4 linked regions of the Pelodiscus sinensis genome follow. The protein of the gene in region 4 purifies or fractionates together with the protein of the main gene of each other region. This does not show direct contact. Links are inferred from orthologs where the notes say so. Each region holds a gene or a part of one and is shown on either strand. Other genes may lie near its edges. The genes, in order: AHDC1, ZNF280D, CHAMP1 and CBX1.

Evidence for each region.
Region 1: the proteins of CBX1 (region 4) and AHDC1 purify together in Homo sapiens (affinity purification with mass spectrometry; 4 studies listed by BioGRID and IntAct, with this or other methods). This does not show direct contact. The link is inferred for Pelodiscus sinensis from reciprocal best matches to the Homo sapiens genes CBX1 and AHDC1.
Region 2: the proteins of CBX1 (region 4) and ZNF280D purify together in Homo sapiens (affinity purification with mass spectrometry; 4 studies listed by BioGRID and IntAct, with this or other methods). This does not show direct contact. The link is inferred for Pelodiscus sinensis from reciprocal best matches to the Homo sapiens genes CBX1 and ZNF280D.
Region 3: the proteins of CBX1 (region 4) and CHAMP1 purify together in Homo sapiens (affinity purification with mass spectrometry; 6 studies listed by BioGRID and IntAct, with this or other methods). This does not show direct contact. The link is inferred for Pelodiscus sinensis from reciprocal best matches to the Homo sapiens genes CBX1 and CHAMP1.

Annotation. Positions count from the first base shown.
Region 1 is NC_134735.1:12,463,104-12,471,046, reverse strand, and holds the start of AHDC1 (transcription factor Gibbin), read left to right. Parts: upstream 1-4,914; 5' UTR 4,915-5,189; coding exon 5,190-5,325; intron 5,326-7,943. UniProt on the Homo sapiens protein: Transcription factor required for the proper patterning of the epidermis, which plays a key role in early epithelial morphogenesis. Directly binds promoter and enhancer regions and acts by maintaining local enhancer-promoter chromatin architecture.
Region 2 is NC_134724.1:28,534,179-28,541,729, forward strand, and holds the start of ZNF280D (zinc finger protein 280D), read right to left. Parts: upstream 3,054-7,551; 5' UTR 2,802-3,053; intron 2,219-2,801; 5' UTR 2,117-2,218; intron 1-2,116. UniProt on the Homo sapiens protein: May function as a transcription factor.
Region 3 is NC_134711.1:236,216,085-236,222,978, forward strand, and holds the start of CHAMP1 (chromosome alignment-maintaining phosphoprotein 1), read right to left. Parts: upstream 3,033-6,894; 5' UTR 2,799-3,032; intron 2,433-2,798; exon of another isoform or gene 2,331-2,432; 5' UTR 2,213-2,330; intron 1-2,212. UniProt on the Homo sapiens protein: Required for proper alignment of chromosomes at metaphase and their accurate segregation during mitosis. Involved in the maintenance of spindle microtubules attachment to the kinetochore during sister chromatid biorientation.
Region 4 is NC_134739.1:13,775,209-13,783,248, forward strand, and holds the start of CBX1 (chromobox protein homolog 1), read right to left. Parts: upstream 3,034-8,040; 5' UTR 2,869-3,033; intron 1-2,868. UniProt on the Homo sapiens protein: Component of heterochromatin. Recognizes and binds histone H3 tails methylated at 'Lys-9', leading to epigenetic repression. Interaction with lamin B receptor (LBR) can contribute to the association of the heterochromatin with the inner nuclear membrane.

The sequences.
Region 1 (7,943 bases), on a different chromosome or scaffold from region 4:
AGAATAAGCTCAAGTGGTTTATACGGATTCTCAGGCCCCTGGTGTCGAGTTACCACCTTAGGAATGGCTCAGGGCCCATGCATTGTTATTCACAATTCGTTAGGCACATGTATGCACCAGTATAAATATTCAGCTAGGATTAATTGCTTCTGGAACAGAGACCCGTGCAGGTGGCATTGCAGAACAAGGCCTCCAGAAGTAGGACGCTGGGTCTGGTTAGAAAGTGATGACCTGGTCCCGGTTTGCAAGCAGCCTCCAGCACCCCGGATGACATACCGGTATGTGGCTGTGCAGGGGAGAGCATCACGCAGGGCGTATGCCCCAGCAGAAAGCAAGGGAGGAAGGGTGAGGTCCCATCAATTTGCTACTCCTTTCAAACTGGAGCAAGGCCAGCCACCCGAGGATGCAGCAGGCCCTGCCCAGCTCCTTTTAGTTGCCAGCCCTGGCAGGGACTTTGTGCCAGGTTGAGAGATAAGTTTTTATGATAACTATAGCTAGAGCCCTGCAAATCCACAGCTTGATGTCCACGGCTTATTTTTGCAGATATGGATGCTGCTTCAGATATAAATGTTGTATCTAGAACACTGCAAATTTGTGGATATCCGCTTTATGTCCATGGGTATCCCCATTCCCGTGGCTCATTTGTGTGGCTATGGATGTGTGTACGAATTTTGTAACCGCACAGGGCTCTACCTATACAGATGCCCTTCACACCCGACAAGGAACTTGGATAGTTTTAAGCATCCCTTTGATTAATACACGACCTTTCAATGCTGTGGATTAAATTAATAAATCTTTGCAATTTAAACCCCATGCCGCTCTCAATGTAACGTTTTCTGTAGAATCGTCCTCCCTCCCTGGAGCAGGATGAGCAAACTGCTCCTTTTCTCTGCCTAAGATGCATGCTATGCACACAACTCCACTACATGTGCATGATGGTGTGTGTGGGGGGGGAGGGGTGCATGCACATATATACACCAAAAGAGGCAAGATTAATACCAAGAAAACTCTATGTGATCACAATATGCGGATCCTTCTGGATTGTGATCAGTTACTAAAAAAGAGCAGAAACTTCAAGGCTCACCTCTTAGGGTAAATGATAAATACTGCCTCTACCTGTACTCATTCAAACAACACAGATCCCCTGCATGTGCCAATTCTATCGATGACCCAGGTGGAGTACTCACATCCTGTTGGCATCTACAAAGTCGAATACTGCAGGGTGCTCTCTGCATCATCCGCTTGCCTACCAGTCCTTGGCCGACCCACTAAAGACCCTGAGATCAATAGGGTACGTGCAATCAGCAAGATTTAGTCCTAGGTGTCTGTTGACATCCAAATATTAATTTTAATTGAATATACAATACACACGATTGGGGTGTATGTGTGGGTGATATATCCCAGTGGTACTTTTTCTGTTTCATCCCCATCTATATGTTACTTCATTGATGACTCACGTGTGATTAAAATTCTAATGATATTCACAATCCTCTGGCGTTAACCCCTCACTCGTTATTCCGGAAAATACAATGTCACAACAGACATCAGTCATATTATGTGTTTTAATTGTGTTGTAGCTATGAGCCTCTGTGAAATTAACGAGTGCTTTGAGATCCTTGGTGAGAAGGCCCTATAGACATGCACATTGGTATCTAGATGTGGAGATGCAACATAGTTTGGTGGGCAAGACACTGGTCTCAGCAGCAGACCTGAATTTTGTTCCCAACTCCGCTGTGAGACAGAGGGCAATTCATTTCCCCATTCTATATTTCTGTTTCCCCACCTGTTTTGGCTGTAATCTCTTAGAGGCAGGGCCTGTCTCTTACTGTGTCTGCACACGGCAGTACCAGTCTTGGCCCAGACTTCTAGATGTTATCATGATACCAGTGATGCTAGTGCAGTTCCCAGGGCTGTCGATTCTTCACCACGTTTTATGGGAGAAAGTGTGAAAAGGTCACACTGTTTCCTAGAGCAGTTCTGGGGTTTGCGAAAGGACTTGTAGCATGCATGTTGTGTGTGCGTGTTTGTTGATTGGAATATTCCATCCAGATTCACGTTGTGCGCAACCCCAGACTGCCAGCTCCGAGTGTTCAAAAATCATGAATCAGGGCCCCAAGCACCATGAGATTGGGTTAAACCTCAGGAAGCTCTGGGCCTCTTTTCGTTTGCCTTCTGATTTGTGACGCTTGAGGGGACTTTGGGGGTCATGTTTTTAATCTTTTGGCCACAATAAGGGTTAAAATCTGACTTGTTTTAATAAAAACGAAGAGTTTCTTATACTCACATGACTCCAGGGGCTGGGGCTTCAATAAATACACCAAATAACAAGGCAACCCCAACACAAGTGGATTCCAAGCACAAATTCACTCAGGGTATGTCTACACTACCCTCCTAGTTCGAACTAGGAGGGTAATGTAGGCATACCGCACTTGCAAATGAAGCCCGGGATTTGAATTTCCCGGGCTTCATTTGCATAAGCGGGGAGCCGCCATTTTTAAAACCCCGCTGGTTTGAACCCCATGCAGCACGACTACACGGGGCTCGAACTAGGTAGTACCACGAGGTATACCGGTAGTTCGGAATAGGAATCCTAGTCCGAACTACCTAGTTCGAGCCCCGTGTAGCCGCGCTGCACGGGGTTCGAACCAGCAGGGTTTTAAAAATGGCGGCTCCCCGCTTATGCAAATGAAGCCCGGGAAATTCAAATCCCGGGCTTCATTTGCAAGTGCGGTATGCCTACATTACCCCGCTAGTTCGAACTAGCGGGGTAGTGTAGACATACCCCCACTGAGTAAGTCAAGCGGAGGTTGCTTGAATATTTTGATGGGTGCTTCTTAAATGTTTTGGCTTCCATCCCACCCCTCTCGATGCAAACTGTTCCGTGGACCACCAGCCAACCACAAAATGGGTGGAGGAGGGGGTTGGGGTGCAAGATCTGGGTGGGAGGGAGGGTGCAGAGCAGGCTGGGATGGGGGTCTGACTGGGAGGTTGGATGCAGGAATAAGCTGAGTGTAGGGGGTCCAGGCAGGAGGAAGGATGCGGGAGCAGGCTGGCGGTGCAGGGGCTGGTGGGAGGGTGTATGTGAGGAGGATGGGGGGTGCTTACCTGGCTTTGCCCCCCCACTCCCAGACACCACCACCTGCTGATCCCTTTGGCTGGGATTCCAGTCAATGGGAGCAGTGGGGAAAGCCTCTAGGCTAGCGATTCCCTGCACTGCCATTCCTCCAGCCGCCAAGCGGAGGGGAGCAACAGCATCAGAGAGCCGGATCCTGTGCACGTGAGCCAACAGTGATGCTCCAACGTTGGGGGGCCCCCATCACCCAGTCAATTCTACAACCCAGAGCTTCAGTCCACCTGCAAGATGGTCACGGACCACTAGTGGTCTGCCCACCACACTTCGAGAACCACTGCTTTAGGCTGATGTTTCCAAAGCGACTGTAGGGAATTTGGATGCTTCCTTCCCAATGGGAATGGGGTGTCCAATTCTCTTGAATGGCGTTGAAAATGTCAGCCGGAAAGTACACAGCCACTCCGCCCTGAAATAGGGAGTCCCCACAACCGCCACCAGGATCACCCCGACTCTACCCCTGAGTCTTGCAATCACAGAGGGCGGCCTCTCCCTGTCCTTAGCTAGCACCTGTCCTGAGCCTTCCTGGTGCCCCCAAGTACCAGAGAAAACCACTGGGGTTTGGGCAGTGCTGAAACACAGTGGATTTGTTCCCACTCGGTGTGCCTTTAGGTAGCAAGATCCCTGGGGCCATCCGGTCTCTTTGGAAGAGAGAACACCCACCCCTCCTGTGACGTAGTGGGGGTATTGGGCTGCTTTCTATGCTGGCTCTGTGGTAACCCCCACTGGCTGACCCTAACCACGGCCCAGCGAGACAGGGGATGAGTCATTATGCAGAGAGGGTCTCTCAACCTGTCTGACCAGCTAGCCCCCAGGGAGAGAAACAAAGGAAGGTGGAATGCTGCCCCTGGCTGGGGGGCAGGGCTGGAAGAGGGTTAGTTAGTTTCTGTCTGGGAGCATGGAGGAAGCCGCCTAAGCAACAGGCTGGGGTTTAGAAGCCCAGACCCATATGAAGGGGGGCTGAGGCATCCTAGGCCTGTCCTGTAACCAGATGACATCTGTGCTGTGCTGTGTCCTGGAGAAGCAATAAACTCCCTCTATTCTACTGGCTGGTGAAGTCTGTTCGTGCCATTTCGGGGGGTGCAGGAGGCGCGGGAACCCCAACGCGTCGTCACCCCTCCTCCCCCAGCAGCCCCATTGCCGCGAAAGGAGAATCCCCACGAGCAGTAGAGAGCCTAGGACACACACCGCGGAGCAGTGCCGATTCCGCCCGGCAGAGGGCAGCGGCGACCCGTGCCAGGGACATCGGCACCAGCCCGCCGGCCGCTTCCCAGCAGGACGCGTCCGGATGGCCGGGAGCCGGGGGGGGGGGGCAAGTTCAGCCCCAAACTTTGCAGAAGTTGGGGGGGGGGGAGACACTCCTTAGTGGGGGCACGAATTCAAGCACCGCCTGCCCCCCCCCCGACAGCGCCTGGGGGGGGGGGTGCGCCCCGCGATCCCCGGCCCCTTTGTGCATTGCACAAGCCACACCGGGGGGGGGTCCCCTCCCCCTGCCTGCGCCGCCCCCCCGCCCGGGCTGGCCGGGACTACAATCCCCGGCATGCCCCGCCGGAGCGCTCCCTGGGGTTCCGGCTGCTGACAGGCGAAGGTAAGCAGAGCTCGCAGGCAGGCGGCAGCCGCAGCACCAGCCCCCAGAGCTAGGGAGAGGCAGAGGGAGCGCGCCCGCCCGCAGCCCAGCAGGCTCGGCCGAGCCCGGCAGCAGCGCCCGCCCGGCAGCGCGCAGCAGAAGGCGAGAGCGGAGAGAGAAAGGGGGGGGCGGAGGAGGAGGGGGAGGAGGAAGGGGGGGGGGGTTGCAAGCAGCCGCGGCAGCACAAGCCCGGGCTCTGGGTTGTGTCTTCATTTCCTTTTCCCACCCAGCCCCGAGCGCCGCGGCGGAGGGTGGCGAGCCCGAGCCGAGCCGGGGAGCGCGGTGCAGCCAGGCTCGCCGAGCCCCCCCTTCCCCTCTCCGGCTGGCTCTTCTTTTGTGTGTTTCCAAGGCGGGGAGGCGGGAGCACAGAGGGGGGGGTGGGGGGGTCGCGTCCAGCAGAGTTGCTCGAGGAGCATGTGAGCAGAGGCGGTGAACATGCTGTCGTTGAAGGTGGCCGGTGGTCCGGAGGGCTCCATGAATCTCGCTGGCAGCAAAGACTCAGCCCCCGTGGAAGAGAAAAACCTCCCCAAACGGGCAGCTCCGGAAGGGCTGGGTGCCCAGCAGCCGGCTGGTGAGTACCAGGCTTTCATTTGCCCTGCCCCCCCCCTCCCTCGGGGACCCCCCCACGCGCGCCCGGCTCCTGGGGGCCAGGGGATTTTCCCCCAGTGGATCTCCCTCCCCCCTCTGTAATGAGCTAATCGAGCAACTTGCTGCAGAGTGCTTGGGCAGCAAACTCTGTGGGGAGGGGGGTTAAAGGGCAGCATGCAGTCCAGATGAAACAGCCTTTGTCTCTGTGTAGCGGGCTTGGCAGCACTTGAGGCCAACTGGGTTGTATTTCTCTTATTTCCTGTCCGCCCTCCCCGAAGCCCACACCTCTCCAGTTACTGCCTTGCAATATGCTGCGAATCCGCCACCTCTCCATCGCTCCGTGTCTGGCTTTCTACCTCCCCCCCCCCCTTCAAAAAAAAAAATCCCGACCGAAAATCGCTTTAGGTGTAAACACTAATCTCGCCTTGCACATGCAGATGGGGGCGATGCAGGCAGGGGCTGTGCATTTGAGAAGCCCAAGAGTAAGAGGATATGTTTACTAAGTGGCGGGGGTGGGTGGGTGGGGAGCTGCTTTGAAAAGGAAGGGTGGGTGGCTGGGGGGGGTTGGAATGGAAGATCAAGCCAACAGTCCTTTATTATTTCAGCATGTGGGTTTGGTTCTCGGCAAAAGCGTAGGGGTGTTGGGGACAGACGCCTCCTGGCTCTCGCTCATCCCCCCCCCCCTCCACCCTTTGGCAGGGCGAAGTTGCATCCTCTGGGAGAGTTGTTCCCAAATTGCTGGAGTTTTAATTGCAGTTCAAGGAGCAAAAACCGCAGAAATGTTTGGCAAGGGGATATGAAGGCAGTGGGGGGTGGGAGGGGAGGTAAAGACTGGGGTGGGGAGACATTGTCTGGCAAGCAGAGTTGTGTGTGTCCGTGCCGGGCGGGGGGGGTGGGGGGTTGAGCGAGCGTTACCTGTGGAACAAAGTCGCCTACTTCTTTAAATAAATAAATAAGCCTGGAATCTATGCATTTCCTTCTGGAGGGATCTGATTTCACAGGGTTCCTCTGCCTGCCTCCCCCTGCATGTGGGATTGCTGAGTGACAGCTGTCAGGCTGGCTTCTGTCCACTAGAAGGCAGGCAGCAGTTATAATCAAGGATGTCAACAAAATTTGTGGTGATATGTCTTTTCTCGCATGTGCGCTTGGATCTGTGTTACATCAACCCAGCCCTTCCTGCCTGTGTCTCCCCCCTGCCAGCTCCCAAGAGGTGGGGGCTGCAGGCAGCAGCAGGCCAGATTTTTGGTTAGTGTGGTGTATATGTGGGGGAGTTTTCTTTATGGTCCAAAGGGCCTTTACTTGGTTGGTCTGTCCAGGGGGGAATGTTGTGCAACGGAGGATGCGTTGGAAACCCTGCTGTTACCTTACATTCTGCAGATCTAGTTCTTAGGGGGCCATTTTTTGGGAAGAGTATTTTCTTTTTGGGAGTTTTTATTTTTAAAATCCCCTTGGTGCTAAGGAACTGCACTCCCTGCTTGCGAATAATGCACTGGAATTCTTCTCTCAGACCCTGGCGCTGGGTTGCTGGAGTAACTCCATTGAGAGGCACTAGTGGGAGACCAAAGCCACCCCCCTGGGTGCTTAGTTGGAAAACACGGAGATTCTTAGACATCCAGAAAACCAAACTGGCCGAACAGCCAGGCTGCGGAGACTCGGAACACTTGGCAGGTTCTGGTTTCTCCCCATGCAAGACCAGGTGGCCTGTGTGTTGGGAACTTGGCATGTGGCTTTGGAGTGGCGCTCAAAGCCATATTCTGAGCTCAGTTTCACTGGTGCAAACCCAGCAGTCAGTGGCGTGACTCCAGATTGACACCCGCGCGACAAAGAGCCCAAGCGAGCCCTCAGGACGTTGGCCCTGATTCAGCAAAGCGCGTGAGCAGGGTGAAGTCCTATGGAATTCAGGGCTGTGGCTTCAGAGCTTTGTTGAATCGGGGCGTGATGACTCACTGGGTGTCCCCTTGCAGTGATGGCCTTGTTGGTTTGTGGCATCTGGAAGGCAGGGAGCCAAATGCCGAGCTGTGTGCCTGTGAACCCGAACGGGCCAAATCATGCCTGGGGCAACTCTGCTGCAGTCCACTGTCTCTGGTGCAGTTACGAGGGGGGTTATTTTAGCCCACTGGCCCTCACTCATGCTGGTTTTGCCCGGAAGGGCCCCGTTCCCCTCCTCCTGTCGACTAACACACATGAGGAATAGTCCAGTTCTGTTGCTTTCAATGGCACCGGTATTGCTCAGCGTAGGATTGGCTCCGTTGCCTTGCAGGGGAAGTATCCACCGAACGATGGGGCTGGGGGTGGGCAAGAACATGATCCAGCGTTGGGAGCTGGAGGCTGGTGAAGGAGAGGAGACGGAAGGTTATCGGAGGCCTGAAGGGGCTGACTGGACAGAGTGCCTGCCCTGGCCTCCTTAGAAGAGGCAGCAGAGACCCGGGGCAGTCTATTTCTGCTGAGATCCCGAGGAAAGCTCTGGGAGAATTGTAGGCTTCTATAAATAGCGTGTGTCAGCCAAGTGGAAACAGGGCCTTGAAATGCTCCTGCTATTCTCCTGAGTGCTGGAAACCAGCTCTCAGTAAACAGGGCCATGGTGGGGAGGGCCCTTTCCTA
Region 2 (7,551 bases), on a different chromosome or scaffold from region 4:
TTGTGTCTGAAAGAGATAAAGCTAGAGTCAGGGTGTCTCATGCAGAGTTCAAAATGGCCTCCTTAAAAGGGCAATGCCTGCTCTGTTCTTAAAAGGGCGGCAGCTGCACCTCTTTTGGGGTAGGGGGAGAGGCGACTCAACTTTTTCCCCTCAGCTCTTTGCACTGTATCCACCACTATTTTGGCTTTTCGTCTGTAACAGGTTGGCCATCTCTGATCTAGACAGTGCTTGATACTGCCATGAAGGCAGGGGACTAGACTCAATGACCTCTCAAGGTACCTTCTAGTATCCTATGATTCTATGACTGTTAAACTTTACGGCTATGTCTACACTGCAGCCTTCTTGTGCAAGAACTGTTTTGCGCAAGAGTTCTTGTGCATAACGTCTTCCACAAGAGCATGTCCACACTGCCATGTGTTTTTGCACAAGAGATGTGCTTTTGCACAAGAGCGTCCATGGCAGTGTGGATGCGCTCTTGCGCAAGAAAGCTCTGATGGCCATTTTAGCCATAGGGGTTTCTTGTGCAAGAAAATCATGTTGCCTGTCTACACTGCCTTCTTGTGGAAGAGCTCTTGCGCAAAAGGGCTTATTCCTCGTGGGGAGAGGAATAACTCTTCTGGAAGAAGCCCTGTTTTCCGACGCTGTACTGTGAATTTATTTGCGCAAGAATGCACGTGCAGTGTAGACACATGACAAGTTTTTGTGCAAGAACAGCTGTTCTTGCACAAAAAGCCTGCAGTGTAGACGTAGCCTAATAGTTGCCCTTTAAGAGTTGTTTTAAGAAGCAAAGTTGCATTGTACATAAACCCAAAGCTCAACCTAAAGCATCCACCACCTTTCGGTCCATACTACTTCAGTTAGCATAATTTAATGTCATGTGGGCAATCTACTATAGCAGGGGCAGGCAATTTTTGGTGAGGGGGCCACACCAAGACTTTGGAAAGTGGTCAATGCAAGCTCTTTTCTGTGGAGCAGATATGGGGATGGGTGCAGAAGGGAACACAGGATAAGAGACTGGGGTGCAGGAGAGGATTCTAGCCTGGAGAAGGAGTTTGGAATGGGTGAAGGGTCTGGGAAGGAGTCGTAACCTGCAGCTGGGGGGTGCAGGATAGTGACCTGGGGGAAGGAGGTGGGACTCAGGAGGGGCAGAAGTGCCAAAGACAGGCTTTGGCTGGGAGGCACTTACCTAAGCGTCTCCCAGCCAGCAGCCCTGCAGCACCCCCAAGGAAGGCTGGGCTCCCTGCCTGCTGCAGTCCCAGAGGACTTAATACTGCAAGCTGTTCTCTCCATGGCTACGTCTACACTGGTACCCTCTTGCGCAAGAACTGTTCTGCAGAAGAGTTCTTGCGCAAAAAGTCTTCCACAAGAGCGCGTCTACACTGGCATGTACTTTTGCACAAGAGATGTGCTTTTGCACAAGAGCATCCATGGCAGTGTGGACGCTCTCTTGTGAAAGAAAGCTCTGATGGCCATTTTAGCGATAGGGGTTTCTTGTGCAGGAAAATCATATTGCCTGTCTAACCTGCTTTCTTGTGGAAGAGCTCTTGCACAAGAGGGCTTATTCCTTGTGGGGAGAGGAATAACTCTTCCAGAAGAAGCCCTGTTTTCCAACGCTGTACTGTAAATTTACTTGCGCAAGAATGTGTGCACAGTGTAGACACCCGACAAGTTTTTGCACAAGAAGAGTTGTTCTTGTGCAAGAAGCCACTAGTGTAGACATAGCCCATGGGGCTCAGTTCAGGGAGGGGGAAGAGGCTTGCACTGCTCACATCCCCATGACCAATCTCTCAGCTCCTATTAGCTGGTTGTTTCTGGCCAATAGGAGCTGAGGATTGGGCTGGGTGTGGGGAGGTCACAAGTTTCTCCCGCCCTGGAAAACAGTCACACAGAGCAGCCCTGTGCTTAAAACAGCAGCTGCTGCGTGACAGAGTCTTGGCAAGGTGGTCCACGGGCCTGATATGGGGGCTTAGTGGGCTGAATCTGGCCCCCGAGAGGTATTTTGCCCACCCCTGTACTATAGCAACGTCATAGTCTGCAGGTCTTGGTTTGTTTTAGAAGCTGTCAAACACTGCGTTAGGGATGTGAACAGACTTAAAAGAAACTAAATGTCATTTACCTTTGATGCAAATGTAAAAAAACGATTAAGCACCTAGCCCAGTGGGGAAACGTCCCTCGAAAACACCTTCCTGCCTCACTGTCATGAGATGGTAAGAGCCTCCTACAGAAGGGCAGCGTTATCTTTTGTACGCAAATTACAAGTTCTCACAAGCTACATGGGTGTGAGGTGAGGCCGAGGCAGGGTGCAAGGACGCCGGGACAACAGGGCAGCTCCCTCTGGAACCGTTCTCTTTCACGCGGCTTCATCATTTCCCTCTGACACGCTCCGTGACCCCCGGTGTCTGAGGCAAGGGCTGGTTTGGCCTCAGGCAGGAGGGGTCGGATGGGGATCGGAAACCCGCTTGCACCGCTATTAGAACGGGGAAGATCCTCAACACCCACTCACAGCTATTCGGGAGACACCAACAAAGGAGGGAGGGGAGGGCGAGCCCGCGAAGCTCCGGCTCCCGCGTCAAGGGGAGACTAACAAGGTCGCTAGAAAGGCTGAGAGTCCCAGAGCTCGCCGGTCGGGGAGGGGGGGGGGGGCTACAAGGCCACGCTCCGAGCCAAGATGGCGTCGGTCTCGTAGGCAACAATCCCCCCGGTGGCCCACCCTGCGCTAAGCAGCGGTAGCTCCCTCCGCACTGGAAGGCCCTGAGCAGGCCGTCCCTGCGGGGAGGGGACAGCGGAGCGGGCCGGCTTACCGTGCTGCGCGTGTGAAGAGGCCGCGGCAGGCTCGCTCGCTCCCTGACTGACGGGGGGGATGGGAGGGGGCGGCTCCGGCGGAAGATCCTCACATCGCCCAGCCGCGGCGCCCAACCTCAGTCTCCTGCCACTGCAGCCGCCGCTACTGGGGGGAATTCGCTGAACCCGGCGCGCTGGCTGATGGGTAAAGTGCAGGTCAGCCCCACAGAGAGGCGCCTTCTTTCCGGCAGCCACCAGGGAGGGGGCGGGGCAGCGCGGGGGAGGCGCACACAACGCAGGGCCATGTGCCTGGCCTCACACCCTGCAGAGCAGGCCTGGCCTGTAGGCCGCACCTCGGAGCTTTCCTTTGCTGGGGGACTCTGCTGCACACAGTATCCTCTGCCTCCCACATGGGGCAGGGCCAGCCCTCCCTACATACTCTGTCCTCCCAACAACCATGGACCACTGGTAAAACCACCACCCATGGGACACATACTCTGGCGTGAACTGCCTTCCCATCATCAAGGGGCTGAGGCCAATCCCACAGGAAGCCCAAGGCACAGAAAGTGATCAGTGCCCTGCACCAGCAAGCCTACACTGTACTGTGTGCCTGGTCTGTAGACATAAGATGCGTGCCACAGAGGAAGCCAGGTTCACAGCCCAGAAAATGGTGTCTATAGCACCTGACACAGACAGGTTATTGAAAAAGCCCACACTAGGATATTATCTTCCACACATAATAACCAGCCACAATCACCAGTAATTTCCTGTCTCAGAGATCTAGGATCAGAATATTACTCCAGGGAAAGAAGTACCCACAGTAAAAAAGTACAACAATTTGTCAAGTATAGTGAACTAAGGGAAAGCAAAATTTGAAACTTTAACACTACATGTTCTTTGTATGATAGCTGTATACACATTTCCATTAACAGCTATAAAACTAATGAAAATGAGAAAAAAATTTAAATCTGACATTAATATTCACATGTGAATATTTGTACACATTTGTTATGGTTTATGTAACTTGTTTAGCTCTACTATGTGTGGCTCTACACAAAAACCCAGAAGTAATCAGGAGAATTTACAATCTAAGATCCTGGTCCAGCAGTTTGATTCCAACAGCCACACAGAGTTCCACTGTAGCTGACAGGACTTCACATGGACATAAGGGTTTGTCCACATATATTAAATATCAGGATCAGGATATGAGGGTTAGGTCTTGCAAACCTTTATTCAACTAGGTACAGTAATCTTATTTATTTTAGTGGCACTACTCATGACCTGCAGTATCAGGTTGTACACACTGATGAAAAAAAAAACATCTACAGAGACTGGTGGCACTTTCAACATCTTTTTCCCCATCTCTTTTTAATATGATGGAAATCAGCATTTTATTAAGTTTAGTTAATACTCAGAAAATTTTCTGAGTCAGAATGAAAAAGACCGACTTGAAGACATTCAAGCTTTCACGTGCCTTTCTTGCTGTCTATTGCTATTCCTTCCCCATAGGACAAGGCTGGTCCATCCCAATATTATGGAGGTAATTAGAGCTCTGTGATTAAACTTGTGTCTAGACTTCCACTCTATGCCCTATTTTCTATTCTACAACAACACTAACTACAACTATTTTCTACCCTGGAAATTAAGAAATTTGTTTCCAACTTGTTATTCCTAATTCAGGTGTAAAAAACTTTTTTCCCCCAGAAAATTTGAAATATGCAGGACAGAAAGGCATTCAAATGCCACTCATAACACAGGTTGCTTCTCCCACATGGGTATTTTCCAGAAGAAAAGAATTATTGACCTACGATATAGAAAAGAGGAAGAGATCAGGGTAGACAAAACTATTTAAACTAGAAAGTGTCCTGTTTGTCTCATACTGTTATGTAAGGTTTTGAAACACTCTAGATATTTTTCAGAAGAAAAAAAATGGTTACTCATCTTTTATAACTGTTGTTATTCAAGATGACTTGTTCGTGTCCATTCCAATCAGGTATGCACATGTATGTGTGCATGGAAGTTGGAAGCAGCAACTGTCAGGTCAGCCTAACAGCCCTCTCTAGTACCACCAATATGGTGTTTGATATATAGCCTTGCTGACCCATCAACTCCCCAGTTTCTTCTGACGGCTACTCCAACAGAGGAGAAAGAGGGTGGGTATTGGAATGGACATGAACACCACATCTCAAAGAACAACAGTCACAAAAGATGACTGGCTGTTTTTTTCTTCTTTGAGTGATTGTTCATATGCATTCAAATCAAGTGGCTCACAAGCCTAAACTTTAGGAAGTGGTGTTGGAGTCAAGAGCTGACTGGAGCACTGCCCTACTGAAAGCCATGTCATCCCTAGCCTGCTGGGTGATTGCATAATGTACAGCACATGTGTAGATGGATGATCATGCCGCTATCTTGCATATCTCATGAGTTGGGACGTGAACAAGAAAAGCTATGGATGAATCCTGTGCCTGGTAGAATGGGCTGTAATAGCCAATGTTGGGATCAGATCAAGGTTATAGCATTCACTGATACAGGAGACTATCCAGGAGAAGATTCACTGGGATGACATTGGGTGGCCTTTCATCAACACAGGGAAAAGTCTTAACTGCATCTTGTCCTTAACACAGGGTAGGGGATTCCAAGGTCAGGGCCCTAAGTCTGGACACCCTCCTGGCAGAGGTTATTGCCAGGGCTCGACGATCGCAGAGCAAACCACTCGCCAGCCCCGCACTGTGCATGCGCAAGACCCGCACTGCACATGCGCAAACCACTGGGTGAACAGGGTGACCAGCTGAAATCTACTCGCCACGGGCGAATAGATCAGCAGATTTGTCAAGCTCTGGTTATCGCCATGACAAAGGCTACCTTATATGAGAGGTAAAGCAAAGAACATGTGGCCAGTGACTCAAATGGGGGACCTGTCAGCCTTGATTGGACTAAACTGAGGTCCCATGAAGGTATAGCCTATGAGTATAGCCTATGAGTATAGCCTATCCAAACCTTTTAGGAAATGACTTACCATTCTGTCTGAGAATACCATACAGCCTCGTACGTCAGGGTGGAAAGCCAAGATGGTGGCCAGGTAAATCCTCATGGATGAAGCCAAAAGGCCCTGCTGTTTCAGGTTGAGGAGGTAATTCGTGGTAATTTGGATCGGAGCTGACATAAGGAACAAACCAAGCTGAGATACCCAAATCAATAACTTCTTCCACTTGGTCAGATAAGCGGCTCTTGTGGAGGGGTTTCTACTACTCAGGAGAACCTGTCAAACCTAATTGGAACAGAGAAGCTCTCTGGGATCTAGCCATGGAGCTTCCCGACCTTAAGACACAAGGATTTACAGTTGGGATGATAGAGACAGGCTTAGTCTTGTGTCAGAAGGTCTGGATAGAGAAAAAGCAGGATCAGTACATCCATGGACAAGTCCAGGAGGAACATGTACCAATGCTGTCAATCCCAAACGGGAATAGTGACCACAGTATAATAACATTTAACATTCCTGTGGTGGGAAGAACATCTCAGCAGTCCAATACTCTGGCATTTAATTTCAAAAAGGGGAATTACGCAAAAATGAGGAGGTTAGCTCCGGCTGGCCAGGTCCTTGCTGGCTGGAGGCGTCAGTTGCTTTTAACTGGCGTCTCTCCTGGTCGTTCCTCCACTCGGGATGAATGTTGAATAGGATTGGTCCTAGGACCGACCCTTGGGGAACACCACTAGTCACCCCTCTCCATTCTGAAACTTCACCATTTATTCCTACCCTTTGTTTCCTGTCTTTTAACCAGTTCTCAGTCCATGAAAGGATCTTCCTTCTTATCCCATGACAACTTAATTTACGTAAGAGCTTTTGGTGACGGATCTTGTCAAAGGCTTTCTGGAAATCTAAGTACACTATATCTTTTGGATCCCCCTTGTCCGCATGTTTGTTGACCACTTCCAAGAAATCTAGGGGTACGTCTAGACTACAGGCTTTTGTCGACAGAAGTTTTGTCGACAGATACTGTAGACAAAGCTTCTGTCAACAAAGAGTATCTAGACTACATCCAGTTCTGTCAACAAAGCAAGCCACTTTGTTGACATGACAGCGTAGACGCAAAGGACAATGTAGATGCAATAATGCCTTCTGTCAACAGAACTCTGGTGACAAAAGGCGTTATTCCTCGTAGAATGAGGTTTACAGCCGTCGACAAAACTGCTGAGTTCTGTCGATGTTATGTAGACGCAGGTATAGTTTTGTCGACAAAAGTCCAGTTTTGTCGACAAAACCCTTGTAGTCTAGACACACCCTAATAGCAAGGCCGGCTTTTGGAAGTGAGCAGCCCAATTCAAACAATTTCAACGGGGCCCAGCAGCAATTTTGGTTGAACAAAAAAAGGCACACAAGTTTAACCGGGGGGCCCCCGTAATTTTTGATTGAACAAAAAAAAAAAACCCCGGCACACAAAAAAATCCCCCACCAACACACACAGACACACACACACCCTCCTGCAGCACAGGAAAACCCTGCACTAAACTCACACCAACACACTCCTCTTCCGGGGCCAATGCCCCCTCCCGCAGTGCACCTGGCAGAAGCGGCATATTTGTATAATTTTTGGTGGTGCCCCATTAGCCACATCCCTGACCTCTGTTAATCACACCCTCACCCCCATTAGCCCCACCCCCGCCCCCGTTAACCACGTCCCAACCCCCATTAGCCACACCCTTGACCCCCGTTAACCAGGCCTCTGGAGGTTACACGCTCGGGGCAAGATGGACACATGACCAGAAGTAAAA
Region 3 (6,894 bases), on a different chromosome or scaffold from region 4:
CCACCCACACCCCAATCCCAGACCTGAGCCCTTCCCACACTGTCACCTCCCAGACCCTGCACCCTTGCCTTGAGCCCCCTTCCACACCATAACATCCTCCCAGACCACACACCCCTATCCTGAGCCCCAGCTGAGCCTGGTCCACTACTCTCTCCTAGATCCTACACCCCAATCCTGATTCCCCCTCCTGCAACCAAACTTCTGCCTAATCAAGCACCTCCACCCCAACCTTCTGCCCTAAGACTGCTTTAGTGCTCCAAACCCCATGCCTCAGCCTGGAACCCCCTCCTACATCCCAAATACCTCATCCACAGCCCCACCACAGGGCCTGCACCAGCAGTCAGAACCCTCATCCCCCCCAACTCTAAGCCTCCTTCTACACTCCGAACCCCTCAGCACCAAACCTGCTACAGATCATCCATTTACAAATGAATTTTGTTTGTTATTTGATACGTTGCATATCTTCGCCATATTGGTGCACATAGCAAAATTCATTTCACAAATGGACACACAAAATTAGAGGGAACATGGATCAGCAGTGTGCTTTTTCATACCCCTGACAAGAAATAGATCAAAATGCAAAGTAAACATAGCCTAAGAAAAGTCTATTTTAATTATTCTGAAATAATATCCTTCCCAGGGGAGGTGCTAGTCACCTCATTGAAGAACTAGACTAAAGGTCTAACAAGCTAGGACTCTGACTGTTCTTATCAGCTGACCAACTCCATGGATTTTCTACACAAAAGCATCAGCAGAGTTTGCACATCTACAGCTCCTCAGCCTGGATACATGATGAAAACAAAGAGGTCGCTACTGTGAGCAGAGGGACCATCCATTTCCACATGCAAGAAACACCAGCTGGAGAGAGAACACAGAAGGGACTTGGCCTAGCCTAAAATTTCACACACAGAAAGGCTGACAGTTGACTACAGAGTTGTGCATCTCAAGATATCTGTTAATTTGCAAAGATCTGTAACTTTAGTGCTTTCTTAAGAATAAAGTGACAAGAAATCTTGTGTTAAATAAGCAGTTTTCGTCTGGTTTGTAGAAACATGTACTTTTAAGTTATTTTCTAGAATATGCTATATCTATATGCATTTAAGAAATTAGCTTAATGTATATTAACTTTGTTATTATAGAAAAAGGTGCATTTCTTCTTTACTACATGATCTTTTTTACTTTGCTATTCGATTTTTTTTAATTATATACATTTAACAGATTCTAGTAAATTTAGGCCTCAGCATAGATTGACATAATTCCACTTTTCATTTTAAACAGATTTATTTGAAAGAGAATTTTTAACTTAAATTCATCCCATAGCAGACAAGTAGTTTTCAGAAATATTTGAAATAGGATTAATAGCATAACATTTTCTTGGTAATATAAGGTTTATTATTTTGCAAGCAAATCAGATTCAATTTAGCTTTAAAGAAAAATTAAATTGGCAAAATCCATACATAATAGCCGAACAAATTTTCCTGAACTACTCCCTCTCACTTTATCGCATCTTAATTTCTTTCCTTACTTAATGTTCTAATTCCTTCCCTAAACTCTCCTAACATCACCGCTACTAAGGAACCTTCAGCAACTAGGGATGCAAAAGGTTAACTAGTAAGCATTAGCTTTATCAGCATGATTATCTAATTAACCAATAACCAATTAATTAACCGAAGGGCTGGGTGAAGGGAGACGCTCCCTGCAGCCAACCCAGGCACCAGGACTTCAGCAGGCCAGAATAGCCCCCAGCTTGTTGCACAGTGTGACAGAACCTGTCCAGCCAGAGCAGGGGGGATCCCTTCTGTCCAGAGAAGTCCCCCCCACACCCATGAAGAGCTGGTTGGACCCCAGCCGCACAATTAACAGGTTAAAGTATTACAATTATATTGTTAATCCAGTAAACTTTTTAAATGGATATATACATCTCTAGCACCAACTATTTATATTCCATTGCTGCCCACCTTCACAGATGTACCAAAAAGTGTGCATAGATCACACACAAACCACAGCAGGATCCACTTCCAAAACTCCACACAACAGACTTGCTCTGGGCTTCTTTATACACTTAAAAACAATTTCCTGAGAGTGGCAATTTTATAAATGAAGTGCCTCTGTCCCTACAGAACACACGGGATAAAACAACTCATACCCTTGATTTTGGTAAGTGATAGGGCCTGTCCCTTAAAAACTGCCTGCTACAGAGAAACTTACTTACTTGAGATTATTGACATTGTCCTGCAGCGTTGCAATTCGGTAACACAGGCTCGTTCTGCAACTGTTTGTGTTGGTTTTCCTCGCGACTAGGGCAATGAGAATCGGCTGCGGGCTCAGGTCTGGGGGTTGAAAGGCTGCTTCAATGCCCGCTTTGTGTTTCCCCGCAGTAGTGCGATGCAGCGTGTCTGTCGCCTGTAACCTCAGCACGAGCCTGAAGCGGGCTGGGGGGGGAGGGAAGGATTTACACAGGGAAAGGCTGGATCCAGACCGCGCTGGCTGGGGGGGGGGGGCAGTTCACACCCCCACGGGGCGGCAGCCGCCTCGCACTTCCGACTCGGGGCCCGCCAGCCGCAGCACTGGGGGCGCGCGGGAGAGGGGGCACCGCAGCCCCGAAGTGGGGGGAGGGGTCTGAGCGCGAGCCTGGTCGGCGATGACCGGCCCCGAACGCGTTACCGCCGCGGGGGGGGAGGAGCCTCCAGCGGGAAAGGCCCGAGCCGCGCGCGCGGGGGGGGGGGGGTGTTTACGAAGCCTTCGCGCCCCCTCCTGCCTAGAGAACGCGGCTCCCCCCCCCCCCCCCCCGCACTCACCGCGAGGGGCAGCACGTGACTCTCGCTCCGTTCGGGCGGGGGTTCTGCGCGCGGGCAGACCCCTGGGCGGACGCGGCCCCTCCAATGGCGGCGGTGGCGGCGGCTTTCGCAGGCCGGAGTGAGCGCTCCCGGGGGGGGGGGGGGAAGGGGAAGGGAGGCGCGCGCCCACACAATGGAGGCTTTATTGGGTCTCCGGCCCTTCCCGCTGCCCAACCGGAAACGCCGCCGTTGCTTCTGCCCCGCCCCCCGCCGCGCGAGACCGCGGGCGCTCCCCCCCCCCCCCCCCCCCCCCGACAACGTGCCTCTGCTTCCTTGCCGTTGCGCGCGCGCGCGTGCATGGCGCCAAGAGGGCGGGGGCGGTTGGAGCCGTTAGAAAGGTCCGGGGCTGAGCGCCTGGAGGAGAGCGCGGGGTGCGGGATCCCTTGCAGGGGTTGGAGCCTGCTGGGCGCGCCGGATCCAGCGCCTGTTGGGAACCAGCTGGTGCCTCCTGAGCTCCTTGGCTGTGTCTAGACTGGCAAGTTTTTCCAAAAAATCATTTGCGGAAAAACTTGCCAGCTGTCTACACTGGCCGCTTGAATGTCCGGAAAAGCACTGACCATCTCATGTAAGATTGTCAGTGCTTTTGTGGAAATACTATGCTGCTCCTATTCGGGCAAAAGTCTTTTTCCGAAAAACTTTTGCGCGAAAGGGCCAGTGTAGACAGCAGAGATTTGTTTTCCGCAAAAAAGCCCCGATCGCAAAAATGGCGATTGGGGCTTTTTGTGGAAAAGCGCGTCTAGATTGGCCACGGAAGTGCAGAAAAACATCCTGCCAATCTAGATGCTCTGTTCCGAAAATTCTTTTAATGGAAATCTTTTCAGTTAAAAGCATTTCTGGAAAATCATGCCAGTGTAGACGTAGCCTGTGTTCTGTCCATGGGCGGGATAAACTTTGCACCACCATTGGGAAAACCCAGCTGAGGGCGCTCTGCTAATCACCTGGGCTGCATGTGGATGTCTCCTGAGCCTTTGCCCAAACACTCCCCTTGCAGGGACTCCGGGAGGGGGCTGCTATGGGTGTGTGGTGGAGGGGAGTATCTGTTGCACACCTTCAGGCTGTGCCAGAGCCCCCCTCCCCACTCAGCACTTCCCTCGTCCCCACACACATCCTGCACTTTCTGGGGTTTCTTTGTGCTGCCTGAGGCACTGATGGCTATACTGGGAATTTGCCGTTTCCCAACTGAGTTAAGTTGTGTAATGCCAGGCTTGCTCAGCAAATGCCCAACACAGAGCTGGAGACCTTACACAAGATGCAACTGGACGCTGTGGGTTTGGCTTTTGTTTGTGACATAGGGATTGAAAATGCCACTGAGAAGGTGTGATGCTGTCAGAGCTGTTTCCTCCTCAGGCCGATGTCTCTTCAGGTCTTAACTGAACATCGACAAATCCATAGTAGCATCAATGGCTCACCTGTGTGTTTGTGATGTTAAATAGGTGTTTGTGGGTTGGTTTGAGAGACTGTGGGAGGGGACTGGGAAATGGAAGGCATTTTTGTGGTGGGTGGTGGTGCCTAGCACTAGTTCTAGAGGTAGTAGACGCTGCTATGTTCAGGCTTCAAGACTATGTCTACACTGCAGGCTTCTTGTGCAAGAATGGCCATTCTTGCGCAAAAACTTATGGTGCATCTACACTGCACATGCGTTCTTGCTCAAGTAAATTTACAGGAATACGTTGGAACAGAGGGCTTCTTGGGCAAGAGTTATTCTTCTCCCCAGAGGAATAAGCCCTCTTGCACAAGAAGGCAGTGTGGATGAGCAACAGGGGGTTTACAGGGATGTGGAAAAAACACATCTGCTTTTCTGATTTTTTTTTTTTAAGATTTTCCTTGGATACCTCCAGTATTCCAGAAAAACTCTGCAGTCTAAACTTACCCAAAGGGAGTCTCTTCCCCCTTCTTTTCCTAGGTTGTCAGTATTTAATTGTGTCCATTAAACCCCATTAATCATTTTGGGGACTACCTGAAAAGGCTACTATGTTCAGCACAAAAAAGCTGTGACTCCTTTGCAGGTATAACTGTGATATTTTGAGGACAGTGAAACCTAGTCCTGCTTCTTTTATTAACATGATGTGGATAACACATAATACACTAATTAGCATGCAAGTATGTGCCACCCATTACGTGGAAAGTCAGAACTGATCAAAACTGATTAGTAGAATCTCAGAGTTTACAAATACCAGCGTTACAAACTGAGGAGTCAACAATACAACTCTCTTGGAATACAGGTATACAATTAGGCAGCAGCAGTAACCAACAAATAAAAAAGCAGATGTAGTTCAGTGCTGTGTTAATTGTAAACTACTAAATATAAGTAAAGCAGTAATTTTCTTCTGCCTAATTAAGTTTCAAAACTGTATTGTTAATGTTCAGTGCGAAGAAACCATAATGTTTTATTTAGAGTTAAGAACATTTCAGAATTACAATCTCCATTCCTGAAGTGTTGTAACGCTGGTTTGCTGTAGTCTCCCTCTAGTGGTTGGTCAATCAAAAGCAGCAGCCTAGACTTGAAGTCTACTTTTATCATGATGTATGAATAGAAGTTTAAAAAATTATTCTTTATGGCTGTGTCTAGACTGGCCAGTTTTTCCGGAAAATCAGCGACTTTTCCGGAAAAACCTGCCAGCTGTCTACACTGGCTGCTTGAATTTCCGCAAAAGCACTGACGATCTCATGTAAGATTGTCAGTGTTCTTGCAGAAATACTATGCTGCTCCCGTTCGGGCAAAAGTCCTTTTGCGCAAAACTTTTGCACAAAAGGGCCAGTGTAGACAGCCCAGATTTGTTTTCCGCAAAAAAGCCCCGATCGCGAAAATGGCGATCGGGGCTTTTTTGCGAAAAAGCGCGTCTAGATTGGCACGGATGCTTTTCCGCAAAAAGTGCTTTTGCGGAAAAGCGTCCGTGCCAATCTAGATGCTCTGTTCCGAAAATGCTTTTAACGGAAAACTTTTCCATTAAAAGCATTTCTGGAAAATCATGCCAGTCTAGACATAGCCTATTTGTGTCTATTAAAAGGAAAACTCTGTGTTCAGAAAGTCTTATCTTTTACTTTAGAGGGGTTTGCAAAATTGGTGAGTCTTAATACACAATAATACTACACATTAATACAACTAGCTACATAGTAGAGTATCTTGTTTCTCTTTCAAGTGATTGTGTACAAATACTGCAGGTGTACATGCTTCCAATGCGCTTGTATTGGACTTTTGTATCAGCAGTACTACTAGGCAATAAAGAGGTCCCCCCATGCTTAATGAAAATTGGTTTATATTAATATGCATAACTCAGAGATGCTTTGAAGAAATGCCTCACATAATCAACAAATTCTATTTCAGTGCATGTATCGTTCCTGTATGTAAAGTTAGAAATACATAGCATGAGACTGCTTATAGTTTCAAATGTGCTAATGAGAGCCATTACCTCTCCCTCAAGCCTTAATGACTTGGTGATCAACTTAACGACTTGTAAATGGCCTTGTTTGTCTTGTAAGTCCAAAATTGATTGGACTAGTAAGACACGTGACCATACCATCTGGTACTGGGATTCCACTTTGGGGCTAGGTCTAGACAACAAAGTTTTGTCGGAAAAAGCTGCACAAAATGCACTCCGCATTTTGTGTAGCTTTTTCTGATTCTTTTGTCGGAAGAGACTTTTCCGACTTTTAGCCTGTCTAGACTAGGCCAAATGTTGGGAAAAAACCCTCTTTCAGAAGCCCCCTTCTTCCTGGTGGAAGGAGGAATACTGGGGCTTCCGAAAGAGTGCATTTGCACTTCCGCAAAAAAAAAAGTGCAAACGCATTCCCTGGATGCGGTGGGGTTTTTCGGGATATCCTGAAAAAACCTCGTAGTCTAAACGTAGCCTTACTTTGGTAGTTTTCCATGGAAAGTGGGGAACGGGGAGTGTTGAACAAAAGTTTCCTGTTCTGAGGGAAAGACTATTTAATCAATGAGCCCTTTGTCTTTGGCTAGTCTGGAAACTCCTGAAAGATACAAGGGGCTGGGAACCAGGTCAGGGTAAAATGTCTCTGACCTGAAGATTATGCCTAAATATGAACAGCTTATAAGGGT
Region 4 (8,040 bases):
GGACAGTGAAATACCAGCCTGTCTTGTCTATTTCTAGCCAGTTTCACTGCCCTGCTCTCCAGAATTAAGACAAAGCTGTGACGTTTGAATTGCAAACCTGGCGGGAGCTGTTTAATCCAAACAAATTACCTGTGTAAGAAAGCCCAAGATTCATAGAATCTTAGTTAATTAAAATGGTTTAAAAGCCCTTAACAAAACCTGCATTTAGAACCTAAACATCATAACAGTCCCATTATCGTACCCACTTTACTTTGTAGTCACAGGACACACACCTCGCCTCTGCAACTCCATTAGCCCCAACACTGCCAGCACAATTCCAGCATCCCAAGGCCCTCAGCGTAGCTCTCACCTCCCCAACTACAGCTTCATCACGCTCTAGTTTTCAGATCCACTCCAGTCTCTGCCATCCCCCTAGCCCACCTCTCAGCCCACCTCTCCTCCCACTTTCCCCACACACAGGATCTTTGGGTTTCAGAGGGGGTAGCCCTGTTAGTCTGTAACTGAAAAAACTTAAACAACAAATAGTCTTGCAGCACCTTACAGATTAACAAAAAATGTAGAGGGGATCATGAGCTTTCGGGGGCATCTCCCCCCATCCCCTTTCTTTCCCTGCCTTTTATTTGTAAACTGGACCCCTTAACTTCATTCATCTGAAGAAGTGGGTTGTGCCCACGAAAGCTCAGTGCCTCCCTAGGACCTCCTGGCGCAGCTGTACCCCATACCTCTCTCCATCAGGCACACTCCAGCAAGCCATCAACTACCCCCAATACGCCTGGCGCAGCTTCATTCATTCCATAGCTTCATTCTCTCCCCTTCTTCAGGTTTACTGTCACCCCAACCTGGGCAGTCTGCAGCTGAACTGGGGGCCACATGTCCCAGAGTGCAGCTTCACCCCGGTTCCCTCCACGGAGGCAGCTTCTTCTCTACATGCCCCATGGTTCCCATTCAGAGCACAGCTCCATGTGCCCCATCCTGTCTCTTTAGTGCAGCTTCATTTCCAAGTGTCCCTTCCCCAAGCCCCAGTCCCACTAGAGTCTGTTCTGCCCCCTCTGAAAGTTCCATATCCACATCCCCACGAGACAGCCCTTGGGCTAGCTCCCCTCATTGCCTAGGACCACCTGGGAACAACAACTGCTCCTCGGAACCTCACCTGCAGCTTCACAGCCACGGAGCTACCCCCCAGGTACCCGCTGCGTTCCCCCTTCTGTGACGCTCCTCTCCCGTGTACACATCCCCACTCCCCATGGCTCCTGGCGCGGCCACCCGGCCACCCACCCCCTTCAACCTCCCCTTGCCAAAGATGTAGCTCCCCTCTGCACCCAGCTCTCCTGGGTCCCTCTCTCGAGCCCCACGCCCCCTTCCAATCCCTGCTCTACAAAGTTTCCATGCATCTCTCCCCTTCCCCACCAAGTCCCAGCTTCCCCATTGCCCCCCACAATCGAGCTCCCTCTCCCAATGCCAGCTTCCCTCCCCCAAATCCCAGCCCCAAGAGCACTGTTTGCAGCAAACCCTCCCCTCCCAAAATGCAGCCCCCCCATTCCAGACCCCACCTAATCCTAGTTGTACAATTTAGCCCTACAGCTTCCCCTCCCATCCCAGCGCCCCCCTGCAGCTCCCCCTCCCGTCTTGGCGCCCCCCTGCAGCTCCCCCCTCCCCCTCCCAGCGCCCCCCCTGCAGCTCCCCCTCCCCCTCCCATCCCAGCGCCCCCCTGCAGCTCCCCCTCCCCCTCCCGGAGCCCCCTTGCAGCCCCCCTCCCGTCCCAGCGCCCCCCCCCAGCACCCCCCTGCAGCTCCCGCTCCCCCCCTCCCGTCCCAGCGCCCCCCTGCAGCTCCCCCCTCCCCCTCCCGTCCCAGCGCCCCCCTGCAGCTCCCCCCTCCCCCTCCCGTCCAGCGCCCCCTGCAGCTCCCCCCTCCTGTCCCCCCTCCCCCTCCCAGCGCCCCCCTGCAGCTCCCCCTCCCGTCCCAGCGCCCCCCTGCAGCTCCCCCCTCCCCCTCCCAGCGCCCCCCTGCAGCCCCTCCTCCCTCCCCCCTCCGTCCCAGCGCCCCCCTGCAGCTCCCCCTCCCCCCTCCCGTCCCAGCGCCCCCCTGCAGCTCCCCCCTCCCGTCCCAGCGCCCCTCTGCAGCTCCCCCTCCCCCTCCCGTCCCAGCGCCCCCCTGCAGCTCCCCCCTCCCCCTCCCGTCCCAGCCCCCCCTGCAGCTCCCCCTCCCCCCCTCCCGTTCCAGCGCCCCCCTGCAGCTCCCCCTCCCCCCCTCCCGTCCCAGCGCCCCCCTGCAGCTCCCCCTCCCCCTCCCGTCCCAGCGCCCCCCTGCAGCTCCCCCCTCCCCCTCCCGTCCCAGCCCCCCCTGCAGCTCCCCCTCCCCCCCTCCCGTTCCAGCGCCCCCCTGCAGCTCCCCCTCCCCGTCCCAGCGCCCCCTGCAGCTCCCCCCTCCCCCCTCCCGTCCCAGCGCCCCCCTGCAGCTCCCCCCTCCCCCCTCCCGTCCCAGCGCCCCCCTGCAGCTCCCTCTCCCCCTCCCGTCCCAGCGCCCCCCTGCAGCTCCCCTCCCCCCTCCCGTCCCAGCGCCCCCCTGCAGCTCCCCCTCCCCCCTCCCGTCCCAGCGCCCCCCTGAAGCTCCCCCTCCCCCTCCCGTCCCAGCGCCCCCCTGCAGCTCCCCCTCCCCCCTCCCGTCCCAGCGCCCCCCTGCAGCTCCCTCTCCCCCCTCCCGTCCCAGCGCCCCCCCTGCAGCTCCCCCTCCCCCTCCCGTCCCAGCGCCCCCCTGCAGCTCCCCCCTCCCCCCTCCCGTCCCAGCGCCCCCCTGCAGCTCCCCCCTCCCCCCCCGCGCCCCCCTGCAGCTCCCCCCTCCCCCCCCAGCGCCCCGCCCCCCCGCTCACTTTTCACAGCCTCGCCAACGGTGCCGGGGCGGAGCGGGGCTGCGCGCGGGGCCGGGCCGAGCTGAGGCGGGGGCGGGGGGGCCGGGTCCGTTGCCGGGGGCGCCACAGGCCTGGCCGCTCGCGATCCGCCTCCGCCAAACAAAAGAGCCCAGCAACCCCCTGTACCCGCCGAGCGCACTGCGCCTGCGCGGCGACCCCCGCCCCGCCCGCGGCACGCTGGGCCATGGAGTCCCGCCGTTGGACGACGGCTCCCAGCAGGCCTAGCGGCGCCCGCCCTTTCGCCGCGCTGCCTGCTGGGTGTTGTAGTCCGGGAGAGCTGGAGGGGGGAGCCCAACCAAGCCCAGCCCACGTGCGTGGCCCCAGGGAGCCACAGGCTCCCCCCTCCGCCCAGGCTGGCTGCAGGGCTGCCACCGCTCCCCCTGTCCATGAGTTCAGCAAGCCCCCGGCTGAGCGCGGCGGAAAGCTCCAGCTCCCGGAGGCAGGGGACTCCAGTGAAAAGGGAACTGCCGCCCCTAGGAGCACTGGCCTCTGCAGAGCGGCGCAGACCCCACTGAGCCCACAGTGGCCAGCCCAGGATGCGCCAGAGAAAGGCGAGAGAATCATCCAGCCCGCACCTAGGGGACGAGTTCCCTCCTGCAGGTCTCACCCTGATCTCCAGCAGTTAAGAGCCTGATTAGGCTGAAGTATAAGGGTTAATATCCCTTCAAACGTGTGTGGGGATTATGTATGGCACTGCATAGCCTTGATACCTATTTAAATATCCAATCCCTTTAATACAGTTACAAAAAATGTCTTTGCCAAAGGATCAAGGCCCACAAAACAGATATTAGACAGGATCACAAAGAAAAACAGTTTCTTGCCATTTCAACCAGAAAGGACACTGTCTCAATGACTTGATTACCTGCATCCTGCTTCAAAGGCCTTTTCAGACCACACTTCAAAGAGAATCCTCTGAACTGTCATTCATGCTTAAATTCGACACTTTACACTTAGGTTTAAACAAAGACATTAATTATCTTACCCATTACAAAGATAGCTTCCCCAATTATCACCTCTAATATCATTAGCTCACAGACATTTACCATCCCCTTTCTGTTCTGAAATTTGATTTGTCCTTTTCATATGTGTTCATTTTTTAACTGTATCCTTTGGTATATATGGTTGTGCCAATTTTCTTCCACTATTTGATCTGAGGAAGTGGGTCTGGCCCACGAAAGCTCATCACCTAATAAACCATCTTGTTAGTCTTTAAAGTGCTACATGGTCCTGTTTTTTGTTCTTTTTAATACAGGTTGAACCTCTCAAGTCTGGCACTCTGGTCTGGCACCATCCATGATCCGACGTGATTTTAGGCAGCCGGATGGCAACTTACAGTGGGTGTGGCCAAGTTCCCGCGGTGCCATAAAGTTTGTTTACAGCCACCCGACCTGGCTCTCAGTGCTCTGGGCTGTTATTTAGTCTTCTAAGAGCCCAGTAAGCAGTGGCAGTGTTAGTAATGCTGCTAGTTAATACTGACCTCTCCTGGTTCAGCAAATTCTCTGGTTTGGCACCAGTCAGGTCTTGAGAGCTCTGGACTAGAGGTGCAATCTGTTGTTTGTTAATTTCTTGGCCTCAATTTCTTCCGGTGGTAACGAGTTTCACGTTTTTATCACACCGTGGATGAAGAAGTATTTCCTTTTGTTGGTTTTACCACCATCTTCATGTGTTATGAAACAGGGAAATAAAAATGCTCAATAAACCTTCTTTATGCTAAAAAGCCCCCAAAGACTTGTAAACCAGAAAGCAAACAAAAATACCACAGCGCTTATTCTTTTTTTAAAAATTTGGTTTTAAAGCTAATCACATGATTTTTAAAGGCCTGATGTTGGAAAGCTTGAGGTGGGCAATACTGCTATAGAACACGAAAGAACAACACCACCCCCGTTAAAAGCATTTTCGGAAAAGAGCATCTAGATTGGCACGGAAAAGTGTCTGTGCCAATCTAGATGCACTTTTCCACAAAAAAGCCCCAATCGCCATTTTCGCCATCAGGGCTTTTTTGCGGAAAACAAATCTGAGCTGTCTACACTGGCCCTTTTGTGCAAAAGTTTTGCGCAAAAGGACTTTTGCCCGAACGGGAGCAGCATAGTATTTCCGCAAGAACACCAACAATCTTACATGAGATTGTCAGTGCTTTTGCGGAAATTCAAGCGGCCAGTGTAGACAGCTGGCAAGTTTTTCCGGAAAAGCAGCTGATTTTCTGGAAAAACTGGCCAGTCTAGACACAGCCAGCTTATGTGTGGTTTGTGCTGCGTGACACTAGCCACCACCAACCAGGTAGGTCTGGGATTAGGGGCAGCCACAGTGTAAAGATGGGTCGTGATGCCACTATGCATGTGCAGAAAGTCCTGCATGTATGGGACTCATCTGTATTTCCATTACACAGCCAAGGAAAATGGGTCAGGGTTACCAAAGGGTTAGTACTGTCAGGTGGCAGGGATACTGAGTCACTAGAGGCTGCTGTTACCAGGCCTGTGTTCCTGGAACATCCCACCTTCAACACTTTCCACTTGGGCTCCCTGGAATGCTGTTTTGCTGGGCACTGGTTACGCAAGCTGACCCAGGACAGGAAGTGGTCATGGGATCAATCCCGTAGGAGAGGAGGAAGGACTGCTCACCCAAGTCAAGGGAAAGAGGGGGAGGGAGCTCCTTTTTGTTCTTCTCACCTTCAGCCCTGTAGTTTTCTTTTCTGAGCCTTTGGGTTTACGCAGGTCACATTTTCAAGCTTTTCTCTGCAGCGGGCTAGGAACGTACTTTTGTTTCCAATGAAAGCTGAGATTCCCACGAATAATTTGACTCCAGAAAAACATGGAATGTCCTGAGAAGGATGACAAAAGCGTGGGAGTTGGCAACACTTCTTAAAGGCCTCCACAAAGGCCTTGATGAAACAAGAGAGGGTTGTCGGGGGGGGGGGGGGGGGGGGGGGGGGGGGGAAGGAGGAAGGGCAGCTCTGCTGTCTATTAGTTCTAGGATATTAAAGAGATAAGGCTGGGGATGCAACATCTTTTACTGGACCAACTTTTGTTGGTGAAAGAGACAAGCTGTCAAACTCCACATAGCTCTTCTTCAGGTCTGGAAAATGTATTCAGGGTACAAGGTGGAGCAGATGGATTAACATCAGTAGCTACCACACTTAAGGGCTCATTCAAAGTGAAGTGCCCTTTGTTAACGCCTGGGGACAAGGGGGGTGGGGAAGGAAGGAAAAAACGTGGAGCAGCGTTTAAGTGTCATAATAAGGAATAAATCCAGTGTTTCTACTCAGCCCATAATTTTGAGGATCTAGCAGAATCATGAATGTTAGTTTTCAGGCTTGTCTTTTGAAGGTGTTGCTCAAATTTCCTCTCCTGACTGTACCCCCATGTGTACACTGGGGTTGGCACAGCTATTGCCTTTGGAGGAGGTGGATTAAGTATACTGACCGGAGAGAGCTCTCTTGGCTGGTATAAATAAAACCGCCTCCATGAGCGGCACAAGCTACGTTGGTTAAAGCTCTCCGGCTGACACGGCGCCGGGCACGCAGGCGCTTACGTTGGAGTAACTCACGTTGCGCAGCGCGGTGCGAAGTTCCTGTTCCTGTGCGGCCAGGGCTGGCCTTCCCATGAGGCGAACTGAGGCGGCCACCTCAGGGGCCAGACTGGGGGGGGGGGCACTAGAGTGTAGAAAATTGTGTCTGCTGCTGGTGCATCTGTATCCTCTCTGCTCTCGATGCACAGAGCTGGAGGAGCGCTGTGCAGGAGGAAGGCGGGCACAAGAGACGTAACGGTCAGGCAGGAGAAGGGGCACAGGGGCGTCACTTGAGCTCCCCGCCTCAGGTACCAAAATGTTACGGGCCGGCCCTGTGCGCGGCAGACGCTCTGCCGACGGCAGGCCGTAGCGTGAGGTCGTGGGCTAAGCGCGCCAGTGGTTCACATGCCGATGTGCCCTCCTCACCTTTCCCCAAACTCGGGGCTTGTCTCTCTCCCCGGCTGCCCTTGGTCCAACAAAAAGTTTTCCTCTCGCCCACCTTGTCCCCTGGGGAGGCTGGTTTTACAGGGGGGGACTCAAAGACATCCATCAACATGGGCATCTGTCAGAGTCTGCATCCTCAGGGTGGGGACCACCCTGCACACCCATGCACCCCTCTTCTCCAGCTCCCTCCCTCCTCATCCTCCTCCCCCTTCCTCCCGCTGGCCCCCTCTTCGCTCTGCTCTCAGCTTGGCCTCGGGCTTGTTTGCATCTGCATCCCCCTCGGGGTAGAGGGCGTGTGTGGGGGGGGGGGGAGCGGAGGGGCTAGAACTACAACTCCCAGCCTGCCCCGGGACCGCACCGGAAGGAGCCCCTGAGCGTGGCTATAAGGGGCCGGGCCCAGCCCTTCACCTCTTAAAGGGGCCGCGCCGGCTGCAGACGCCTGTCCTGCGGGAAGCGGTGAGGAGCCGGGGCAGGGGCGGTCTCCGGAGCGGGGGGCGCTGGGGTAGGGGGGAGGCAGCCATGGCCAGAGTGGGGGGAGAGGGGCATTGGGTAGGAGGGGGGCGGGAACCGTGGGAGGGGGGGGAGAAGGAAGAACCATGTGCAGAGGAGGGGAGGGGGGCATTGGATAGGGGAGGGAACCATGTGCAGAGTGGGGGGGGGGAGGGAACCATGTGCAGAGTGGGGGGCATTGGATAGGGGAGGGAACCATGTGCAGAGTGGGGGGGGGGGAGGGAACCATGTGCAGAGTGGGGGGCATTGGATAGGGGAGGGAACCATGTGCAGAGTGGGGGGGAAGAAACCATGTGCAGAGGAGGGGAGGGGGGCATTGGGTAGGAGAGGGGAAGGAACCATGTGCAGAGGAGGGGAGGGGGGCATTGGGTAAGGGAGGGAACCATGTCCAGAGTGGGGGGGGGGGGAAATGAGGGGGGCACTGGGTAGGGGAGGGGGGTGGTGGTGGTGGGCAATGTTCCCTCTTAACGTTTTCCATCCATGTGTGGAATACATTTTGTTATGCGCACCCAGGCATGTGTGGATGTGCACTGCCAGTAGAAAACCCATGCTGGCGCTGTGGGCGCTCTGCTAATCAGCTGGGTGGCACCTGACTCTCTCTTGGGTGGCCATGCAAGCACCCAGCTCCCAGGCAACTCTGGTGGCGGGGGGGGGCTGTTCTCTTTTCCAGGGGGT